Linked DNA regions of Canis lupus familiaris. The protein of the gene in region 1 binds, or shares a complex with, the protein of each later gene. Links are inferred from orthologs where the notes say so. Each region holds a gene or a part of one and is shown in the gene's direction. Other genes may lie near its edges.

Region 1 (3,951 bases):
GATGTCATGTCTTCCTGGGAATACTATAGTCATCCAAACATTTTGCTATATTTGTTATATTTTTACTTCCTGTAATTGTATTTGAAGTGATTTTGGATGGGGTTGACACAGTTAGGCTTTTTTTTTTTTTTTTTTTCTGGCATCCGGTTAGAAGTATAGCCAAAGTGCTTGGATTTCAAATCCCAACTTTACTATTTCCTAATTACATGACCGTGGCCAAGTAACTTAACTGCTCTGGGTCTCAATTTCCTTATCTGTAAGCATAATCATAGTAATAGAAACTACTTTAGGGGCGCCTGGCTGGCTCAGTTGGTAGACCATGTGACTGTTGATCTCAGGGTTGTGAGTTCAAGCCCCATGTTGGGTGTAGAGATTATTTAAAAATAAAATCTTTATGAATCACTGAATTCTACTCCAGAAGCCAATATTGCACTGTTAACTAACAAAACTTAAATAAAAATTCAAAAACTAAAAAGATCTTATAAAAAACTATTCTATAGGGGTTGAATTGTTAGAATCAAGTGAATTTATTTATATACTGAATTTAATATGCGTGTCTGTGTTTGGCATGTATCAAATCATATGTAAATATATATGTTTGTATATGTATGTGTGTATATGTGTATGCACACACATATGTATCTTAGAAAATTGGCATGAGGTAAGTATGCTATAAGTATCAACCATCATTGTTGTTATTATTCTCAACAAGACTGTAAAATGCTGCTCAGTCTGTCAAAAGATATGTAATATTTTTATCCAGCATGAAGTCATGGCTGGTTGAGTGACTTTTTAAAAATTACTACTTGATAACCAATTAATCAAAAAGTTAAGTCCCTGTGTAAAATATATACCATCATTGGACTGTTATTTGTCTCTCAGTTGTAGAAATTGGTCTCATTTCCTACTCGGTTTAGTTATGACTGGATTATTTTAGACCTTTTTTCTGCAGCTTTTTTTGTGGTTTAAAGATTTAAAGTTCTTATGGAAACAAGATTTTCAGTTGACCAATGATTAGCTAATTTCTGATAATAGAAAAGGAAACCGATTGCCCCAAGGCTGCTGTTTTCATTTCCTCATGGGAAGAAGAAGCAGAGCAGAGAAGAAAGGCAGACACAAGGCATTGAACCTTTGTCACCATGGGGAACTGGATTGAGAATGAGGGGCTCTCCATCTTTGTCATTGTAAGTACCAATGAGAGAGAAATGATAAATTCTTGAACTTGTTGGGGTTCTCCGGAAAACTAAAATAGGGCAAAATTATTTTGTTCGTTTGTTTTATTTCTTTGAGAAATTGTATTGAAACTGATTTACCATGTGAACATACATCTATCTGTAAGCAAGACTGAGTGCATTCTTCCAAACTTATTAATGATAAGAATGTATCTGGGGGATCACTTCGCCTACTTATTACTTGAATCTGGGAGTACTAAAGTAGCCAGCATTTCACAGAGCAAGTAGAAGACATTTCATGCTAATAATCTACAAGTCTAAGTTGTTTATTAATATTTACTCAGAGGCAAATTCTCCACTTTTTATGTGCTTATACCACTTAAGAATGGGGAATCATAATTTTACACCATCTTCCAAATAACAGGTACAAGGCTGACTCATGTATGGGAAATTGGCCTTTATTTCAGTGATTACACCAAAACTAATTGACGTTCTCAACTTTCTTTTTTTAAAAAGTACCTTTTTTTCTCTGAGGTAAACTTGAGTTGTTTACAAGGTTTATAGAAATTCAAGGGAAGGAAATTGAAATAAACTAGACTCATAAATACAGTGGATATATATTATGTATATATATAAATATATATGTATAAATCTAGTTTATTTTAAGAAACAATTTTTGTAAGTAAAGATAGGGCTAATTTTCATGTTAATATCTTTAGTCTTTTACCATAACAAGGACCAACTATTATTTTAAGATGGCGGTCTCAGCAAAGCGATCACGGACAATTGGGAAGATAGAAATGTGATTTATAATTAGCCTTTCCAAATAGCCAATGAAAGTATTGTACTGATGCTAAAAAAGAACACTTGTGAGTGGAATTTCTGAAAGAATTTATCATAAAGTAAATATTGAGCCTTTGAGTTGCAGACATAGAGAGGAATTTGTGTCACAAATAAAAGCAAGAAATACTGTGTCATTAAAAAAAATATGCCAAACCAACATTCTAATGCCATATAGAATTCTTCTGAGGACTCAGAGCTGTTCACTTGGCTTCTTATCACCATTTTGAGAACAGATTATTCCTATAGAAAACAAGTTCATATTATACTTTTAGCTCCTACCACAGTTTTCCCCAGGAGATGACCTCCTCCTAAATTGCACACTCATATGCTTCACAGTAAAGACACATCTTGGAAAGCAAGAGTAAGAATGGAGAAGTAGTTTTAATACCTTCTTCTTCATAAAGAGTTCATTCTTAAGCACCCATAGACATTTAATGGCATTAAAGCACAAGTAAGAAAATATCACTACGGAGCTGAAGGTTAGAGACTGAGCAGTGCCTCCACTTAATGCAATCTGTGCTTGGGATGCAATGAGCAGTCAAAATGTAAAAGGGTCTCTTTAAAAAAAAAAAACAAAATCCCATGCTCCTTACCCCTTGTTCCTGTTCAATATTCCCTCTTTTAAAAGTTAAGCAAACTTACCAAATAGAATCAAAGGCTTGACGTTCTAGCTGATGTGACTCCCACTAGCTGGGGTGGGGTGCCATGTGGTGGAGGGAGGCGATGGCACCCACGAGAATAGGATACAATGTCTTACAGGTGCAGGGGACTATATAGTAGCATATGCCTTTCCCTTCTTTTTTGAGAAGACTCACTCACCGCTATCTATTTAAGCTCCAGAAGAAAAGAAGAGGAAAAAGACAAAGGGGTGATAGACTAATAATAACCTGGCATACTGGCTGGTAGAGAAAGAATCATGGGAAACCACACAAGGTGGAAAGGTCAATCACAAAGTGTAGTGGCACTGTTGTAGGAAAAAGCTGACTTTGAGCTGGTTACACCCAAATTTGTGATCAGCTTCGTTGAAGGCTAGACTGGGGAAGTCCTGACCCCAGTCTGACTCTAATCTTATGTGAAATCTACCTATGGAAATGTGGAAACTTCACGCAACTATTTCTCTTTTTGCAGCTGGTGTGGCTGGGGCTGAACGTCTTCCTCTTTATCTGGTTCTATGGGGTTTATAACAATGGAGAAGAATTCTTTTACACTCGAAAACTTCTTGGGGTAAGTAAAAGTTCCATCTCATGCAATATTGACTGGCTCACATTTCTAATCAAAGATTCTGGTTCTTATTCCTTTCAACACTTTATTTATTTTTTTTTTTTTTGTTTTTTTTTTTCCTTTCAACACTTTAAATAAATATTCTGACCAACCCAAATAACACCACTAGCCTCGATCCCTCCATTGCAACCACCTGGGCACGAGTCTTGAGGCCACCCAGTGTTAGATAAACTAAAGCGTTTATCTGGGAATCAGAGATTCCCAGCAGCATCCCTCCTCTCCCAAGAACTACTGTGCCACTGTTTAGCTTAAAGAAGAAATCTGATGCCAACTCCAGAATGGCAGGCAAATTTGGAGAGATCCATCCAAGGGTGACATAGGTGGGGCAAGTGAGACTTTCCATATTCTTTAAATCATCTGATTCCTGACACTTTTGTGCATGGAGAGCTCAGCGACATGTTGTGAAATGATCTTTGGGAAATAAGCCTCTCCCTCCAGATGGAATCATTGAGGAACTTGTCCAAGAGTCACACTGACTAGGCCAGCAGAGTGAAGGCTGCCAATTTTCCTTGGGGTTCTTTACCATCCTTGATTTCCTTGAGCTGCCAGGGCTCTTCTTCATGACAAATGAAAATAACTACAATTACAACTGCCCTCACAGGATACCATTTGTTAGATCATGCTGAAACCGTGAATTCATACTTAATACCAATGG
Region 2 (4,280 bases), on another chromosome or scaffold:
GAATAAATAAATAAAATCTTAAAAAAAAAAAGAAAAGAATGCAAGTAAGTGTAACAAAGTAGAATTTCCTGGGTCTCCTCTCAGTTCTACCTAAATCCTGAGGAATAAGATCACTTCCAGCTGCAGCAAGCAGGAAGGACCTAAAGGAGGTACTAACAATTCAAATGCACCTTCAAGATAGGGAAGGGGAGTCTTCCTGGAGGAGACAGAGTGTGAGCTGAGGGGTCAGGGAGCCCGCTGTGCTCAGGCACAGCCCAGCTCTGCTGCAGCTGGGGTAGATGGTCTCAAAGTGTGGGTCCTGGACCAGCGGATTAGCAACAGATGACGTTGCAGCCCCCTCCCACCACTAGGAACAAGTGCCAGCAATCTGTGCTTCCACAAGCCTGCCAGGTGATTCAGATGCCTGCCCAGGTTAGGAAGCCACGGGCAGAGAGAAGCTGAAGCAGATGGGTCAGGTCGCGTGCCTGTGTTGGTAAGCCTCCTGGGGTTACGTGTACCCGTGCACACACGTTTCTCTGTAAGGGACTACGCGTTGCACTAATCTTACGAAGGCTGTAAAACATGTTGAGAATAGGAAAGGGACAAAGGAGAAGAGAAGCTCCCCTGTTCTTCCAACATCCCGCTGAGGTGGTGGGTGGGGGCTCCTCCTGACCGCAGCCAGGTGATGGGGTCCTGCTCGGGTCCTCACCTGCGGCAGTAAGAGAAAGTGGCATTTGGCGGAGGGAGCAGGTGGGCCTCCTACGTGGCCATCGCAAGGTTTTCCCGGAGAAAACTGCCTTTCCCACGGCAATCCTTTGTGGACAGGCTAGCCCGCGAGAGCCGGGCCCGGTTCCGGGAGCCTCGGCGCCGCGGCAGTCACCGCAGCGGGGCTCATTTTTTATGACGACTTGTCAGTGCGTGAACAAGCTATTCATGCTCCTTCGATGTTACTGAAGCTTTAGCATTTTTGCCAGAGCTGGTGCACGTGTACTGTTAGATTATCTTCGCTTTTTGTTTATCGATTTTTTTTTTTTTTTTAAAGATTTCATTTGAGAGCAAGAGGGGCTGGGTGGGGAGGTGCGGACCCCGGGGTCGGGACCTGAGCACACGCTCCACCGACTGGGCCACCAGCTGCTTTGATCAACGTTTTATTTTTATTTTTCTATTTTTTTAAAGATTTATTTATTTATGATAGAGAGAGGCAGAGACACGGGCAGAGGGAGCAGCAGGCTCCATGCGGGGAGCCCGACGCGGGACTCGATCCCAGGTCTCAGGAATCGCGCCCTGGGCCAAAGGCAGGCGCTAAACCGCTGCGCCACCCAGGGATCCCCTGATCAATGTTTTAAGGGAGACTTTTGAGGCCCAGTTTACCTTTCCAGGCTTCCTGGGGCGTCGCTCCCGCGCCCCGAGGCGCCGGCTCCCCCGCCGCCCTCCGCCGCGGGCGCTGCGGCAAGAGGCCCCGCCCCGGAAGTCGGGCCCGCCTCGCCCGGAAGTCAGCCGTCCCGCCCCCAACCCCGGAAGTGGGCGGCCCGCCGCGCGCCGCGAGGTCCCGGCTCAGCGCCCGCGGGGTCGTGTGTTCGGTAGGCGCGGGGGTCGGGCCGCCGTCGGGGCTGCGGGCGGGCTGCGGGCGGGCTGCGGGCGGCGCGTGGTGGCGGGAGCGCCGGGCGCGGGGGCCCTGGCTGTGGGGAGCCGCTGACCCCCGCGCCCGCCGCCGTTCGGGCAGCCCGGTGCCGCGCCGCGGAGCCCACCCTCGGTGCGTGCGCGGAGAGCCCGGAGCCCCGCCTGCTGGGTGCCAGCCGCGTCCGCGCGCCTCGGTCCGCGGGCCGGCAGCACCCGCCCCCGGCCCCTCCCCCCTTCCCCCGTCGGTCCCCCCTCCCCCTCCCTCCCCGCCGATCCCTCCCCCCGCCCCCCCGCGCCTCGGCCGCCCGAGGACGCTCGCAGTTCCCTTTCTTGGCGGGGACCGCGCGCTCCGGGAGGCTGCGCCGGGGCGAGGCTCGCGTGCTGCTGGGGCCGCGGGTTCCCGGTGCCCCCGGGCCGGCTCCCCGCGGGCGGGCGGTTGGACCCCAGCCGCGGTCTGCCCTCGCCCTTCCCCAGCCCGTCTGCGTCGGAGCGCTGCCCGCCCAGGCCCGGGATGTACATGCAGGTGGAGTCCCGCAGCAGCTCCTGCCTCCATCTGAAGAGGGCTCCGGGCATCAGGTCCTGGTCTTTGCTTGTTGGTAAGGATTTCCGTATTTCCCCCAAGCTAAAAACCTAACTTTAAAAACACGGAAACAGGGATCCCCGGGTGGCACAGCGGTTTGGCGCCTGCCTTTGGCCCAGGGCTCGATCTTGGAGTCCCGGGATCGAGTCCCACGTCGGGCTCCCGGTGCATGGAGCCTGCTTCTCCCTCCTCTTCTGTCTCTGCCTCTCTCTCTATGATAAATAAATAAATAAATAAATCTTAACTAAAAAATAAAAAAATAAAAACAACGGAAACAAAACTGTCTTGTTGCCCCCAAGTACAACAATTATCTCATATCTTTCTAGCTTTTATCCTCCGTGCGATTGTCCTTTTTCCACCTTCACCTTAAGGTTGTGCCTGTTCTCCCGAGGTCCTGGTGTTCTCCTTTTCCTTGCCTCCCAATGCCCGGGTGCGGGCGTCAGGCTGGGCGGTGGGCCCCAGTTCGCTCCTTCACTGTCCCTCTGGGCGTCCAGCACGCGGGGGCAGCTGCAGGCCATTGGTGGGCCTGGTGTGAGGAGTGGTGTGGCTGTGCCTTCAGCAGCCTGCCTCTGGTCCGTCATTCCCGACACCCTGCTCGTGGCCACCTGCCTGTAGTGCTTCATGTGCCACACGTGGTCCTTGCGCACATGCTGCGCTGGTAGAGTAAACCCCTGCTGTCCGGCTCCTCCCTCTGGTTCGCTGGTCAGCCCTGGAGCCCCAGGTAGAGGAACAGATTCCCGGAACGCAGAATGGCATTTGCCATGGTCCCAAGCGCGCCTCCTGCCTCTTGCCCTCCTTCCTGAGCCATGGTCTCTGGTTCCCCTGCTCCCCACCTCCAGGCACCCTGGCACCAGGAAGGCCTGCTCTCCCTGCACCTCTGGGCCTGTGGCTCCAAGTGAGGGGGCCCTAGGCCGCTGGTGGCCCAATAGAAGCACCTGCTTTCTTTTCTCTTTGCAGGAATCTTGTCCATTGGCCTGGCTGCTGCATACTACAGTGGAGGTGAGGTGCATCCCCCTGCCTCCCTCCCCTCCCCCCTCCCGCCCACCCTGTCACTTAGTCTGTTTGAGAAATAGAGAAAAGAGAGAGAGAACTCACCATTAGTGGTGCCCACTGAGCCCCAGCCTTTGGGGCCACAGGCACCTGTGCAGGTGCTGCCCCAGCCTGAGCACTGGTGCATCCTTCCTAATAGCCTGTCCCGTGCCACCTGTGCTCTTCCCTTCTCGTATCTGGAGCACTTTCCCTGGTGATGAAACTTTCTTAAAAGGTGCTCTTGTATTTGCCTGAGGCTGTTGCAGGCTAAGCCACACTTGTAGCTGCTCCTGCAGGTGGCTCCCTCCACCGTCACAGTCACACCGTGTCTCCAGCAGATGCTGCAGGGAGAGTGGAGGGCACAGAGCTGGCCGGACATTTCACATATGGTTCCAAGTGACAGGCAGGGCCAGCAGTGCCGGGCGGCCACCCTGGGCCAGGTCTGCTGGCCCCAGGTGCCACCCCTGCCCGGTATCGGCTGGCGAGGGGGCCCATGGCACGCAGGCCTCCGCCCGCTGCTGCTGCCCCTCACCCGCTGCCTGTTGTTTGCTCTGCAGATAGTTTGGGCTGGAAGCTCTTCTATGTCACCGGCTGCCTGTTCGTGGCCGTGCAGAACCTGGAGGACTGGGAGGTAAGGCCAGCGCAGGCGAGGGTGGGGGCGCCGTGGGAATCACCGCAGGGGGAGAGGCTCAGAGGCCTCACACACCCCCTGTCCTCAAACTTCAGCTTCGAGGTTTCTGGTTAGTAGGACTCAGCCCCTGGGCAGAGGGATCCCCCGAAGCTGTATTTCTCCTAGACGCGCTTTGCGACTGCTTCCACCGAATTCCTTGCTCCGTGGTGTTGCCGTAGCACGGAGCAGATTGAAGGTGCCCTGGGTGAGGGACCGTCTCCTTGGTGGGCCCTTCCTGAGGAACCACAGGACCCACGGTTGCTCTCTGGCCCCCACTCCCGTTTAGTGACCTCAGCTTGGGGAGAGCACCTGCTCTGATGCCTCTCTTTGTCTCCACGCCCCCTGGCCCCGTGCTCCCGACACGTGGGAGCCCAAGAGGGTGTGGCTGTAGGTGTCCGGCTC
Region 3 (2,858 bases), on another chromosome or scaffold:
GTGATCCTGGAGACCCGGGATCGAGTCCCACATCGGGCTCCCGGTGCATGGAGCCTGCTTCTCCCTCTGCCTGTTTCTCTGCCTCTCTCTGTTTGTCTATCTCTCTCTCTGTCTCTTATGAATAAATTAATTTAAAAAGCTTTAAAAACAATCTTAGAGACGGGCAGCCCTGGTGGCTCAGCGGTTTGGTGCTGCCTTCAGCCCAGGGCGTGATCCTGGAGACCTGGGATCAAGTCTCACGTCGGGCTCCCTGCATGGAGCCTGCTTCTTCCTCTGCCTGTTTCTCTGCATCTCTCATGAATAAATAAATAAAATCTTTAAAAAAAAATCTTAGAGAAACTGAAGCTGAGCTGTATGCAAGGGTGCAGGGTGGGGGGAGAGACCCACCCCATGGGCAGCAGTAGGTGCAGAGGTGAGAATCAGGGCTCTGTAGGCAGAATGCTGGGAGACAATACAAAAGGGTCATGGGTAGGCAGCCCCGGTGGCGCAGCGGTTTGGCGCCGCCTGCAGCCTGGGGTGTGATCCTGGAGACCCGGGATCGAGTCCCACATCGGGCTCCCTGCGTGGAGCCTGTTTCTCCCTCTGCCTGTGTCTCTGCCTCTCTCTCTCTGTGTCTGTGAATAAATAAATAAAATCTTTAAGAAAAAAAAAAAAGGGTCAGGGGTAAGCATTTTCCAGAAATGGAGAAATCTCAGATTGAAAGAAAGCAGAGCCCATTGCAGAATAAAGGAAAACCAATCCCTTTTTGGACACATGGTAATGAAATTACAGACCATTAAAGGAAATCTTAAAATTTACCAGAGGGAAAAAGTGGTTTCGTAGCAGCCTGACTGCAGACTTCTCAGGAGCCGCTGCTGGGAGCCGAGGGAAGAGAATTTTAGGTGCCGAGAAAAAGGACGGATTCAGGACCCGGGGGGGACCTCAAAGGATGCTTGTTAGCAGGGGTGGGTGTGGGTGTGGGTGTGGGTGGGTGCTGAGTCCCGCAGACAGGACAGGCTGCGAGGAGGTGGAGGGGCTTTGAAAATGAGCACCGATGGTAAATAATTAATCATGGTGAGGTCAAGTCTACACATGATCCAGGAAGAGAAGCTTTAGATTTTTTTTTTTTAAGATTTTATTCATGCGAGACACAGAGAAAGATCAACATGTCCTGATTGTACCTCGAGTGATCGCTGTTCGTTCTGGGGATGCTCGCACAGCAGGGCGTGGACTTAGACCGCCTGAGCGGTGGACTTTAACATGGCTAAAACAGAACATTTTATGTTATGTATATTTTACCGCAATAAATTATAAAAAAAAAAAAAAAGATAATTTCTGGGGAGAAAAGATGCAGAGGTATGCCGCCTCCAGCAGCCAGCAGGAGGCAGGACCACGTGGGCTGGAGTGGCCCACAGCAGCCCCGGGAAGGGCATAGGGATATCGGTGTCTGTCGGCTGGAGGCCAGGTGACCAGTGGGACATAGGAGCGCTGTGCAGCTGGGAGCCTCGCCCATCCACAGGAGCACACACAAAGGGACAGTGTCATCTTGAGATGCAGAAAGCAAGCACTCGAAACGGCCAGGGGTCGCAGAGCCCTGCAGAGTGGACGGCTGCGGTGAAGACCAGCCCCAGCGGCCCTCCTGGGGCTCTAAGGCTGGGTGTCCCCCAGCTGCTGCTGGGACCCAGACCTGGCTCCCCCCACGCACTGCTCTTTTCACCCCTTCCCCAACTTGCCTGTCACTTTCTAGGGGTTTCTCCTTCTGTGTCCCCTGCACAGATAAACATGTTGTCCCATGTGGTGGATGATGGCCTGGCCAAGGGAGGGGAGCCCACGGAGAGTGGCCAGAGCACCCTACAGCCCCCAGCCCTGCACCTGCGATGGGGGCACATTCCTCCTGCTAACCTGCTTCTCCTCTGCCCACAGTCCTCATCATGGGAGGCATCGTGGCCACCGCCGGCCAGTTCACCAAGTGGTACTTCGGCGCCTACTCCATGTATCCTGCCACCGCAGAGTCCAGGCTAGGGTCGGGGGCAGGACTTCTGGGCACAGGGTGGGGCTGCTGCTGTCCCTGGGGGCATAGCACTAAACAGTTTGCAGAGTGCTACCCCCATTTGTGGGCCCTTGAGACACTCCACAGCGCTGGGGAGGGCAGGATGGGGCTCGGTCACACAGTGGGACTGAGCAGGGCAGCAGCCTGCCCGAGGCCGGGCGTGGGTCCGCAGCAGGCCCATGAAGACTGGCCTGGGGAGAGGTGTCAGAAGCCCTGAGGCCTTGGGGATTCCTGGGATCCCCTCCAGGCCCCCTCTATCAGCCGTCCCCCAGGGTTGGCCTGGGATCCATCGGAACAGGCTCAGCCCCTCTGGCCCAGCTGTGACAGGCCCACCGAGGCAGGCGTGGGGGGGGATGGAGGGCTCATGCGGGCAGCACAGTGGCAGACTCTGCTGAGTGACCTCTGGGAAGCAACCTAACCCTCTGTCTTCTCATCCGCAAAGGGGGCTCACTGAGACCCCCGGGCTGTGTGGCGGCTCCTTAACGGCACCTGCAGCGGAGCAGGCGTGTTTGTGTGCCTGCTGGAGTATCCGCGCGGGAAGAGGAGGAAGGGATCCACCATGGAGAGATGGTGAGCCCCCAGCCCTGCTCCGGGCCACCCCACGGGAGCACCCTCCTTCCAGGGCCTGCCCAGCCACCGTGGCCCCCCACTCAGTCCTAAGGAGTGAGAAGCCAAGGTGCTCTAGGGAGGAGGGTGCTGTGTGGGATACAGTGTCTTCCCTCCCCTCTGCCTAGTGGACAGAAGTACATGACCAAAGTGGTGAAGGTGTTCGGGCCTCTCTCCAGGAACTACTACATCCGGGCCTTCCTGCACCTTGGGTGAGTCCCCT
Region 4 (4,046 bases), on another chromosome or scaffold:
AAAGTCCTTGGGTGATTTGTGAGGGAGGAAGCCCAGGGTGGGTCACGGGGGAGGACACTGGCCTTCCTGACCCGGTCTGAGCACCGTGAAGTGTTTTCCACGGTCTCAGCTCAGCTTATGCAAAGGGCAGAGGAAAGTTATCAAAATTTGTGGGTTGGTTTTAATCATCGACTGGCCAAGTATTGGAGCAGACCGCTGTCCTGGGGTTTCCTGGTTCGTCCTCAGTGACAGTCGGGGGTGGGTGACCAGTGGCTCTGCTTACTTCTTTGCTTGGGTGTGGGGAGCAGTGACAATGAACAGTAAGATCCAGGTGAACTCGGATCCCACAGGGAGGCCCAGGGAGGCCCAGATTCCAAGTGTACTCATGGCTAAGGGGGAGCACTCCTCCTCCCCACGAGCTGCAGAACTCGGGCTTCTGTCTCCTTCTCTTCTCTGTGGCTGGGATGCCAGAAAAACCTGGAGTCACCTGGCCCTGGGTCCGATTTCAGCCAACTGCCTTCTCAGACCTTCCATTTGCCCGCTGTTAAAATGAGCCACGGATCCTCGTTCTGGGGTGCCTAGTCCCCCAAGGCAGCCTCCAGCACAAGACTGGCTCCTGTGGGGTACTGCCCATCACTTCCCTTTTACTTTTTCTCCATCAGCTGGCCTCCACCCCCTGCCTGCCCCAGCTGCCCCCCCCATCCCCCTGTACCTCCCATCCTTCCACACTCCAGGACCCCCACACTCGCACCTGCTTGGGGGAGCCTTGCACTTTGCTCACACAATCCCTCATCTGGAGTGCCCTCTCTCTGGCACCACCTCTCAGGCACTGGCTCAAATGCTCAGAGGCCCCAACTCTCCCTCTGTGTAGCTCTGAGTTCCCCTCCCCAGAGATCCCCCACCCTGACCCCATCACTTCCTGCCTTGTCTTATGGACACATGTGTCAGGTGGCATCTTCCCCAGGGATCGGCTGTACCTTTTGCACCCTGGACTCGCCAGCATCTGACACTATGGCTGGCATACAGCAGGCACTCATTAAATGCTTGACACTTAGAATTAAGATGAACTGAATTTCTGGAAGCTTAAGTCTTTGGAGAACAACTGTGGCCCTACCCCAAGGGCAAGCGGGGAGGCCCCAGCACAGAGGGTCCCCAGGTCCCCTGCTGGCGTCCCAGCCCAGCACCTGAGGGGCCCCGAGTCCTACCAGACCGCATGCTCCGCCTTCTGCAAACGGCTGTTGGGGCAGCAGCTTGGGTAAGTTCCCCTTCCGCTTCCTCCTGCCTCCTGTCCTGCTGCTGCTGCTCCTCTGGCGGGGCGCCTTGCCAGGCTCTCCAAACCCCTGGAGCCCGCGGAAACGCTCTGTGCCCTGAGCTGTCACCGGCGCTACCTCCCAGGCCCGGAGCGAGATGCAGGCCATCAAGTGTGTGGTGGTGGGAGATGGGTAGGTACCTGGCTGCACCTCCTCACCTGGCAGAAGCTCTCTCCTGGGCTACCCCTGAGGCCCGCCTGCCCTGGAGTCTCTGGGGGGCAGCTGGGAGAAACCACTGCTCCCTTCTTGTCCTGGGGCCCAGGGAGAGCCCCCGAGGTAGGGAGAGGACAGCTTCATCCTCTTTGCCCACTTCACTCCGGAAGCTGCCTGGGTGGAGGTGGGTGGAGGTGGGTGGAGGGCACAAGACTGAGGGTGGAGGTGCCTGGGGCCCTTCACTTGCACCCTGAGAGCTGGAGCAGGTCTCTTACGGGAACCATCTTCAACTCTGTGGATGCAGGTGGGGGGTGGCCTTTTTCATCAGGCTGGCCTGGGCTCCAGTGGCTGGCTTGCATGGCTGTGTGTCCTTGGGCAAGCCACAGAGCCTCTCTGAACCTCAGCTCTGCCATCTGGGAAGAGACCACGCCCCCGGGATTGATGTGAGGGTCACCTGACATATTTTGAGTGGCTGTCCTGTGCAGAGAGTGCTCAAGAAGTATTAACCCCCCTCCCCCCTCCGGTGCTGTCCCCTCCGCCTCAGCCTGCCTGGTTGGGGAGGATGTGCGGGGTTTGTGGGCGAGGAGCAGAAGGGGGAGGGGGACACGAAAGGAAGGTGCAGCAAGGAGGGACAGGAGGGTGATTGGGAGGGTCAGTGAGGGCCAGGCTGGGCTGCGGGGGGGTGGGGGGGCAGGGGAGGGCCCTCAGCTGTCAGGTCTCAGTGGCCTCAGGTTGTCAGGTCCCCGCGGGTCTCTGTGTAACGACTGGTCTAAGCTGCCCATCTTGGTGCTGGCCAGCGACAATGTCTCTGGGTCCAGCCACCTGGGGTTTTCCGTGAGTCCAACCCAGCAAACCCCCCAGCATTTCTAGCTGGGCGGGCCTCCCTTGCAACTCTCCCATTCTGCAGAGGGGCAGCCTGAGGCCTGAAGAGACCCAGATCTTCCCGGGCCCGGGGCCCCGTGGCCCTGACCTGTCGGCCTGACTTGGGCTCTGATCAGTCTCATGGGAGCGGGTGCATTACCAGGCAGCCCTCTGCTGATTCTGAGGCACCGGCTTGGCCTTATCTGCCCCCGGCCCAGCCCCGCTCACTTCCTCTTTGTATCTGATCTGAGGAGGGGAGGGCAGAAGCCAGCATTCAGTCATTCAGAGTCACCTTGGTGGCAAGCTCTGGGGAGGGCAGCGGTGGGGAGAAGGTGGCCAGCCTCTTCAGCATAGGACGTGGCAACACCAGAGTGGAGCTGGAGGGGACAGGGCTGCCCCTCTGGCTGCTGGACTTCCCACTGCACAGCCCAGGTCCCCTCCCAGCCCAGCGGCCCCGCAGGCCCAGGGAAGGCAGCGCGCCACGGCCATCGCTGGCACTGACTACGGGCCAGGAGCTGGACCCCCTGGAACCCCTCCCATTTGATCTTCCCACCAACCTAACACTAGGCCCATTTTACAGGTGGGAAAACTGAGGCTCAGAGAAGTCAAGTAATTTGCCCAAGTCCTCGTGGGATTTGAGGCCAGGTCCCTCTGACTTCAAAACTCAGTGCTCTTAACTGCTGCTCTCTCGGGTGTCGGGTGAGGTGGGACGGGAAGAGGAGGGAGGTCAAGTAATTTGCCCTCATGTAGACTGGCTGCTACACTGTGCCAGACGTGGGCTGGCTTCTTCTATGGGCTTTTTTTTTTTTTTATTTTTTTTTATTTTTTTTTATTTTTTTATGATAGCCACAGAGAGAGAGAGAGAGGCAGAGACACAGGCAGAGGGAGAAGCAGGCTCCATGCACCGGGAGCCCGACGTGGGATTCGATCCCGGGTCTCCAGGATCGCGCCCTAGGCCGAAGGCAGGCGCCAAACCGCTGCGCCACCTAGGGATCCCTCTATGGGCTTCATCTAATCTACCACTCAGCGCGCTCCTAGGAGAAGTAGCTCATCTTCTCCCCATTTTCTAGATGGAGAAACTGAGGCTTCTGGAGGCTGAGTGCCTTGCCCGAGGCCGGAAGGTGGTGGAGCTGGTGTCTGGAGCTCTGGAGCCCAGGCGCGTGATCGCAGAGCCCTGGTCAGGCACTGTGGCTTGTCCCCTTCCGTTCAGTGGTCTCCTGGGTATCTCCCCGCCCCCTGGCCCCTTCTTTTTTTTGGGGGGGGGGGGCTGCACACTCGCATTATTTTATTTTGCTTTTCCAGTCTGAAGCTACTATCATGGGCGTTTAGTTATACAAATGACACAAAAAATAAAAGACCAAGACACCCAGAGTGAGATGTATGGCCGAGATGAACTGGTAGGGGCGGCTGGCAGGGGCAGGGCTGGGAGCCAGGGGCCTGGGGATTCCCCATGGGGCTCCCGGTGGAGGGTGACGCCCAGCTACATCCCACCCCGAGACCCGAGGAGTCCAGGACGGGGAGCACCGATCACACCGGGGGTTCTGGCTGAGGCGGCGAGGGGGCTCAGCACCACCAGATGGGGACAGAGGCCTAGGCAGCCCCCGGCCCCTTAACCCTGTGCCCCACATCCGGGTCACCTGGGAAAGCTGGTTAAAAATACAGATTCTGGCAGCCCCGTGGCTTGGCGGTTTAGCGCCACCTTCAGTCCAGGGCATGATCCTGGAGTCCTGGGATCAAGTCCCA
Region 5 (3,512 bases), on another chromosome or scaffold:
TGAATATTTTTCTCACAGAGGCAGAATTGCAAGACATGAGGCTTTTTCTTTACGGTATTTAGTTGTCATTCCATTCTGTAAACCACATTGGAGCCTTACGCAGACCTCTGCTTTGCTGTCTCAATGTAACAAGACCCTAAGTTTTAGTGTTGAGAGTTGAGAGTATGTAAAAATGATTTTGAATTTTATCTTACAGGCTGATATATTGTGTCTTGTTTGGTACTTGCCCTGGTTTGAATTGCAATCCCAGATTTTTTCTTTTTTTTTTTTTCCTTTTCAAGATTTTATTCCTGAGAGGCAGAGGCAAAGACCTAGGCAGAGAAGCAGGCTCCCCACGAGGAGCCGGATGTGGGACTCAATCCCAGGGCCTCGGGATCACGCTCTGAGCCAAAGTCAGATAGATGCTAAACCACTGAGCCACCTAGGCGTCCTCAGAATTAATTTTTAGTGAAGTACTTGGTGGTACTTAGTGATTCTTGTTTGTTTTTTAAGTCCACCTTATTTTCTGCCTGCCAGGCTTCTCTGGGCTGCCTCTTATCATTAACTAGTTTTTGTGTAACAACTTTAAGTTAATTTAAGTACATGTGTATACTCACTCTTGAAATGTTACATGATAGCTTTTCTTTTCTTTTTTTAAGATTTTATTCATTCATAGAAGAAAGAGTCAGGGACAGGCAGAGGGAGAAGCAGGCTCGCCTCACACCATAACTTTTCAAAGCATTGCTTTGTGTTACCATAGCAGTTTGGTTGCAGGCCTCGGTGACCAAGGCTTGATGGTGATTGCCCTGCACTTAGTGCGGGTGTTCTGGAAGCACTGTAGAGTATGGCTTTGTGGTATGCCACCTTGTTGAAGATGAGTAACGTGTACACAAGTCAACAAGTGGGTTTGAGAGAGGGACTAATTTATACTTTGTTTCTTTCTGGAGAGAAAAATCTTAATGTTCTCTTCATTAAAAACAAAGGTTTTCTCTTGCTGACAGTCATTTGTTTTAGTTCAGTGGACTACCTTGTCCTTTGTGTCTGTCCCAGGCGTGTTTCTCCAGGTGCAGTGTTTTCGCCTTCCCCATACCCTGCAGCCCTTTCTCCTTCCATGTGGCTGCTCTGGCTCCTTGTGCCTGCATGCTGGCACCTTTGCTTTCAGGGGAGCCTCCAGGCCACTCCTGGCCTTGGCACACCTCTGAGACCCTTGCTATGATAGTCACTCAAACCCCCCATCTATGCCTTATGTTCCAGGGCTAAAGTGTTTTTTCTCCATTCTACAGCTTTGACAATTACTCTGCCAATGTTATGGTAGATGGAAAACCAGTGAATCTGGGCTTATGGGATACAGCTGGACAAGAAGATTATGACAGATTACGTCCCTTATCCTATCCGCAAACAGTAAGGATCATGACTGCTTTTTAATGTGTCCTTTAGAGTATGTAATTTTGACTGTGTAATTGCGTATCACCTACAGGTTTGCTTATACAGTTGGCACTTGAATGCACAGGTTTGAACTGCAGAGATCCACTTACACCAGGACTTTTTTTCCATAAATACATTACGGTACTGTAAGCATAGTTCCTCCTCAAGATTTTCTGGTTTTTTTTTTTTTTTTTTTTTTGTTCCTCAAGATTTTCTTAGTGACATTTTCTCTGGCTTACTTTAGTGTAAGAATGCAGTGTATATTACACATAACATATTTTACATGTATTAATCAACTGGTTATGTTATTGGTAAGGCTTCCCAGTCAGTAGCAGGCTGTTTCTTAAAGTTTCGGGGAGTCAAAGTAATACACAGGGTTTTGACTGCATAGGGGGTAGTCAGCACCTTTAACTACCCGCGTTGTTCAAGGGCCAGCTGTATTGCCATCTTTAGTAGCAAGGTTAAGTTCGGTAGTGAATGTCCTAGATGAGGACCAAGGATTTGTTTCTAATTTTTTAGCCTTACCAGCTACTAACGATGGTGCTATGTGTTCTACATGCTTTCATTTTAATTTCAGGACAGCCGCATGAAATAGGTACTGTTTTGTTCTTGCAAACCAGTTTCAACAATAATTACTTTTAAGATCAGTTTGCTTTGTGCCACAGAGTCAATTTAAACAGTTAAGGTTTTAAAAATCAAGTTAATGACTTCTCTTTTGGAATTAATATTATTTTTCTAATAAAACACATGCTCATCTTTCTACAGCGTTAGTATCTAAGTCTTCTCAATGTATATTCAGGTTTCGGTTTTGTAAAAATATGTCCACTGTGTCCAGTCAGAAAAACTTCTAGATTAGTTTTGCTTCCATTTCAGAGAATTTTAAATGATGTGTGTATCAAAGTGAATCAGTAATAGCTGGTTAAAATATGCTTAGAAACCACTTTACTTGAAATAAGCAATTGTCTTATTTGTACCATTTGCTTATCTTGTTACACGTTTGTTAGTCATTTTTAAAGTGTTTTAAACCAACTCTAGAGGCTCAGATGACTCACTGGCCAAAGGAAAATGCTCTAGGGGCAGTCAAGTGAATTTGTCAGGTTGAAATCCCATGCTCTGCTTCCTAGCTCTGTGACCCTGGCAGGTTTCTTCACAGCTCTAGTCATGACCTGTTTTCTCCTAGGATTAGATTAGCAATCAGTATAAGGCACACTGAATAGTTCCAGGCACATCACAGACAGTCTAGTGTAGCTGAGGTGAAGATTCATAGATCTGGACAGCTCTTCAAGTCCGAGCTGGCTGGGCCCAAATGAACAGAAGTTGCTGTACATGCTCTCAGCAAGCTAGGATGACCAGAGGAGGATCAGGTGGAGACATTCTGGAGTTTTTTAAAGTTAACTTTCTATTTAGTAAAATAAATTTAAAACTCTATTTTTTAGATTTATTTGAGACAGAAAGCACGAGAGTAGGGGGAGGGTGCGAGGGAGAGAACAAATCCCAAGCAGACCCTGTACTCAGTGCAGGGGTCGATGCAGGGCTCGATCTCATGACCCTGAGATCGTGACCAGAGCCAAAACCAAGGGTCAGACACTTAACCAACTGAGCCACCCAGGGGCCCCTAAACTTAGTGTGCGCATGTGCAAATGGGGAAAAGGGGCAGAGGGAGAGAATCTTCAAGCAGACTGCCTGCTGAGTGCAGAGCCCTGTGTGGGGCTCAATCTCATGACCCAGAGATCACAACCTGAGCTGAAATCAAGAGTTGGACACTCAGGACACACAACAAACTGAGCCAGCCAGCTATTCCCCCCACCCCCTTCCTTTTTTAAAGTTTTAAAGTTTTTTCCATGCAACAGTCATTGTCTTTTGTGTTTATTTTTTCAGCTGGAGGAATTCTCAAATACAATTAATTTGAACTGTGGATTTTTGCTACATTATAGTAATAGTGTTCAATAAAGACCAAACCCATAAAATGCTAAGTCTGAATGAGTGATGCCTCATTTAATCTCCAGCTAAAAATTAACTGTGATTAAGTTTTAAAAGTCAGCTCATAATCCCCAAATGGTTCGAAGTCTTCAGTATGTTTAGGAAACTTCTGTCCCCAGTGGGGGCTT

Evidence for each region.
Region 2: the proteins of CYBB (region 1) and CYBC1 are in contact, whole or in part, in a cryo-EM structure (PDB 8KEI), measured with the Homo sapiens proteins. The link is inferred for Canis lupus familiaris from reciprocal best matches to the Homo sapiens genes CYBB and CYBC1. Residues at the interface, in NP_000388.2 of Homo sapiens: Trp28, Asn74, Leu75, Leu76, Ser77, Phe78, Leu79, Arg80, Gly81, Ser82, Ser83, Ala84, Cys85, Cys86, Trp206, His210, Phe212, Pro266, Met268, Trp270, Lys271, Ile273, Tyr280, Tyr324, Phe326, Lys328, Leu335, Glu336, Trp337, His338; in NP_001028218.1 of Homo sapiens: Arg22, Leu26, Ala37, Ser41, Gly42, Asp43, Trp47, Phe50, Tyr51, Phe57, Gln61, Asn62, Glu64, Lys77, His97, Asp98, Gln99, Val100, Val101, Val102, Leu103, Arg108, Ser111, Glu115, Val117, Arg118, Tyr119, Phe120, Arg129, Ala131.
Region 3: the proteins of CYBB (region 1) and CYBA are in contact, whole or in part, in a cryo-EM structure (PDB 8X2L), measured with the Homo sapiens proteins. The link is inferred for Canis lupus familiaris from reciprocal best matches to the Homo sapiens genes CYBB and CYBA. Residues at the interface, in NP_000388.2 of Homo sapiens: Thr116, Ile117, Leu120, Phe121, Val123, Glu124, Asn128, Asn133, Lys161, Asn162, Pro163, Gly166, Leu167, Ala170, Val180, Thr183, Leu184, Ile187, Leu188, Thr191, Ser192, Thr194, Lys195, Thr196, Ile197, Arg199, Ser200, Tyr201, Glu203, Val204; in NP_000092.2 of Homo sapiens: Gln3, Ile4, Glu5, Trp6, Met8, Trp9, Glu12, Gln13, Ala16, Ile20, Thr23, Val27, Gly31, Phe33, Thr34, Gln35, Arg56, Arg59, Met65, Gly102, Phe103, Leu104, Leu105, Ala106, Ile108, Leu109, Ala112, Cys113, Ile116.
Region 4: CYBB (region 1) and RAC2 share a complex: the UniProt entries of both Homo sapiens proteins name them as parts of the phagocyte NADPH oxidase complex. The link is inferred for Canis lupus familiaris from reciprocal best matches to the Homo sapiens genes CYBB and RAC2.
Region 5: CYBB (region 1) and RAC1 share a complex: the UniProt entries of both Homo sapiens proteins name them as parts of the phagocyte NADPH oxidase complex. The link is inferred for Canis lupus familiaris from reciprocal best matches to the Homo sapiens genes CYBB and RAC1.

Annotation. Positions count from the first base shown.
Region 1 is NC_049260.1:32,670,684-32,674,634, forward strand, and holds the start of CYBB (cytochrome b-245, beta polypeptide), read left to right. Parts: upstream 1-1,139; coding exon 1,140-1,184; intron 1,185-3,143; coding exon 3,144-3,239; intron 3,240-3,951. UniProt on the Homo sapiens protein: Catalytic subunit of the phagocyte NADPH oxidase complex that mediates the transfer of electrons from cytosolic NADPH to O2 to produce the superoxide anion (O2(-)).
Region 2 is NC_049230.1:759,857-764,136, forward strand, and holds the start of CYBC1 (cytochrome b-245 chaperone 1), read left to right. Parts: upstream 1-1,472; 5' UTR 1,473-1,559; intron 1,560-2,073; 5' UTR 2,074-2,110; coding exon 2,111-2,195; intron 2,196-3,136; coding exon 3,137-3,178; intron 3,179-3,765; coding exon 3,766-3,839; intron 3,840-4,280. UniProt on the Homo sapiens protein: Functions as a chaperone necessary for a stable expression of the CYBA and CYBB subunits of the cytochrome b-245 heterodimer. Controls the phagocyte respiratory burst and is essential for innate immunity.
Region 3 is NC_049226.1:65,179,117-65,181,974, forward strand, and holds part of CYBA (cytochrome b-245 alpha chain), read left to right. Parts: intron 1-1,902; coding exon 1,903-1,972; intron 1,973-2,524; coding exon 2,525-2,599; intron 2,600-2,763; coding exon 2,764-2,847; intron 2,848-2,858. UniProt on the Homo sapiens protein: Subunit of NADPH oxidase complexes that is required for the NADPH oxidase activity that generates, in various cell types, superoxide from molecular oxygen utilizing NADPH as an electron donor.
Region 4 is NC_049231.1:28,294,995-28,299,040, forward strand, and holds the start of RAC2 (ras-related C3 botulinum toxin substrate 2), read left to right. Parts: upstream 1-1,236; 5' UTR 1,237-1,386; coding exon 1,387-1,421; intron 1,422-1,686; exon of another isoform or gene 1,687-1,747; intron 1,748-4,046. UniProt on the Homo sapiens protein: Plasma membrane-associated small GTPase which cycles between an active GTP-bound and inactive GDP-bound state.
Region 5 is NC_049227.1:11,830,570-11,834,081, forward strand, and holds part of RAC1 (ras-related C3 botulinum toxin substrate 1 precursor), read left to right. Parts: intron 1-1,262; coding exon 1,263-1,380; intron 1,381-3,512. UniProt on the Homo sapiens protein: Plasma membrane-associated small GTPase which cycles between active GTP-bound and inactive GDP-bound states.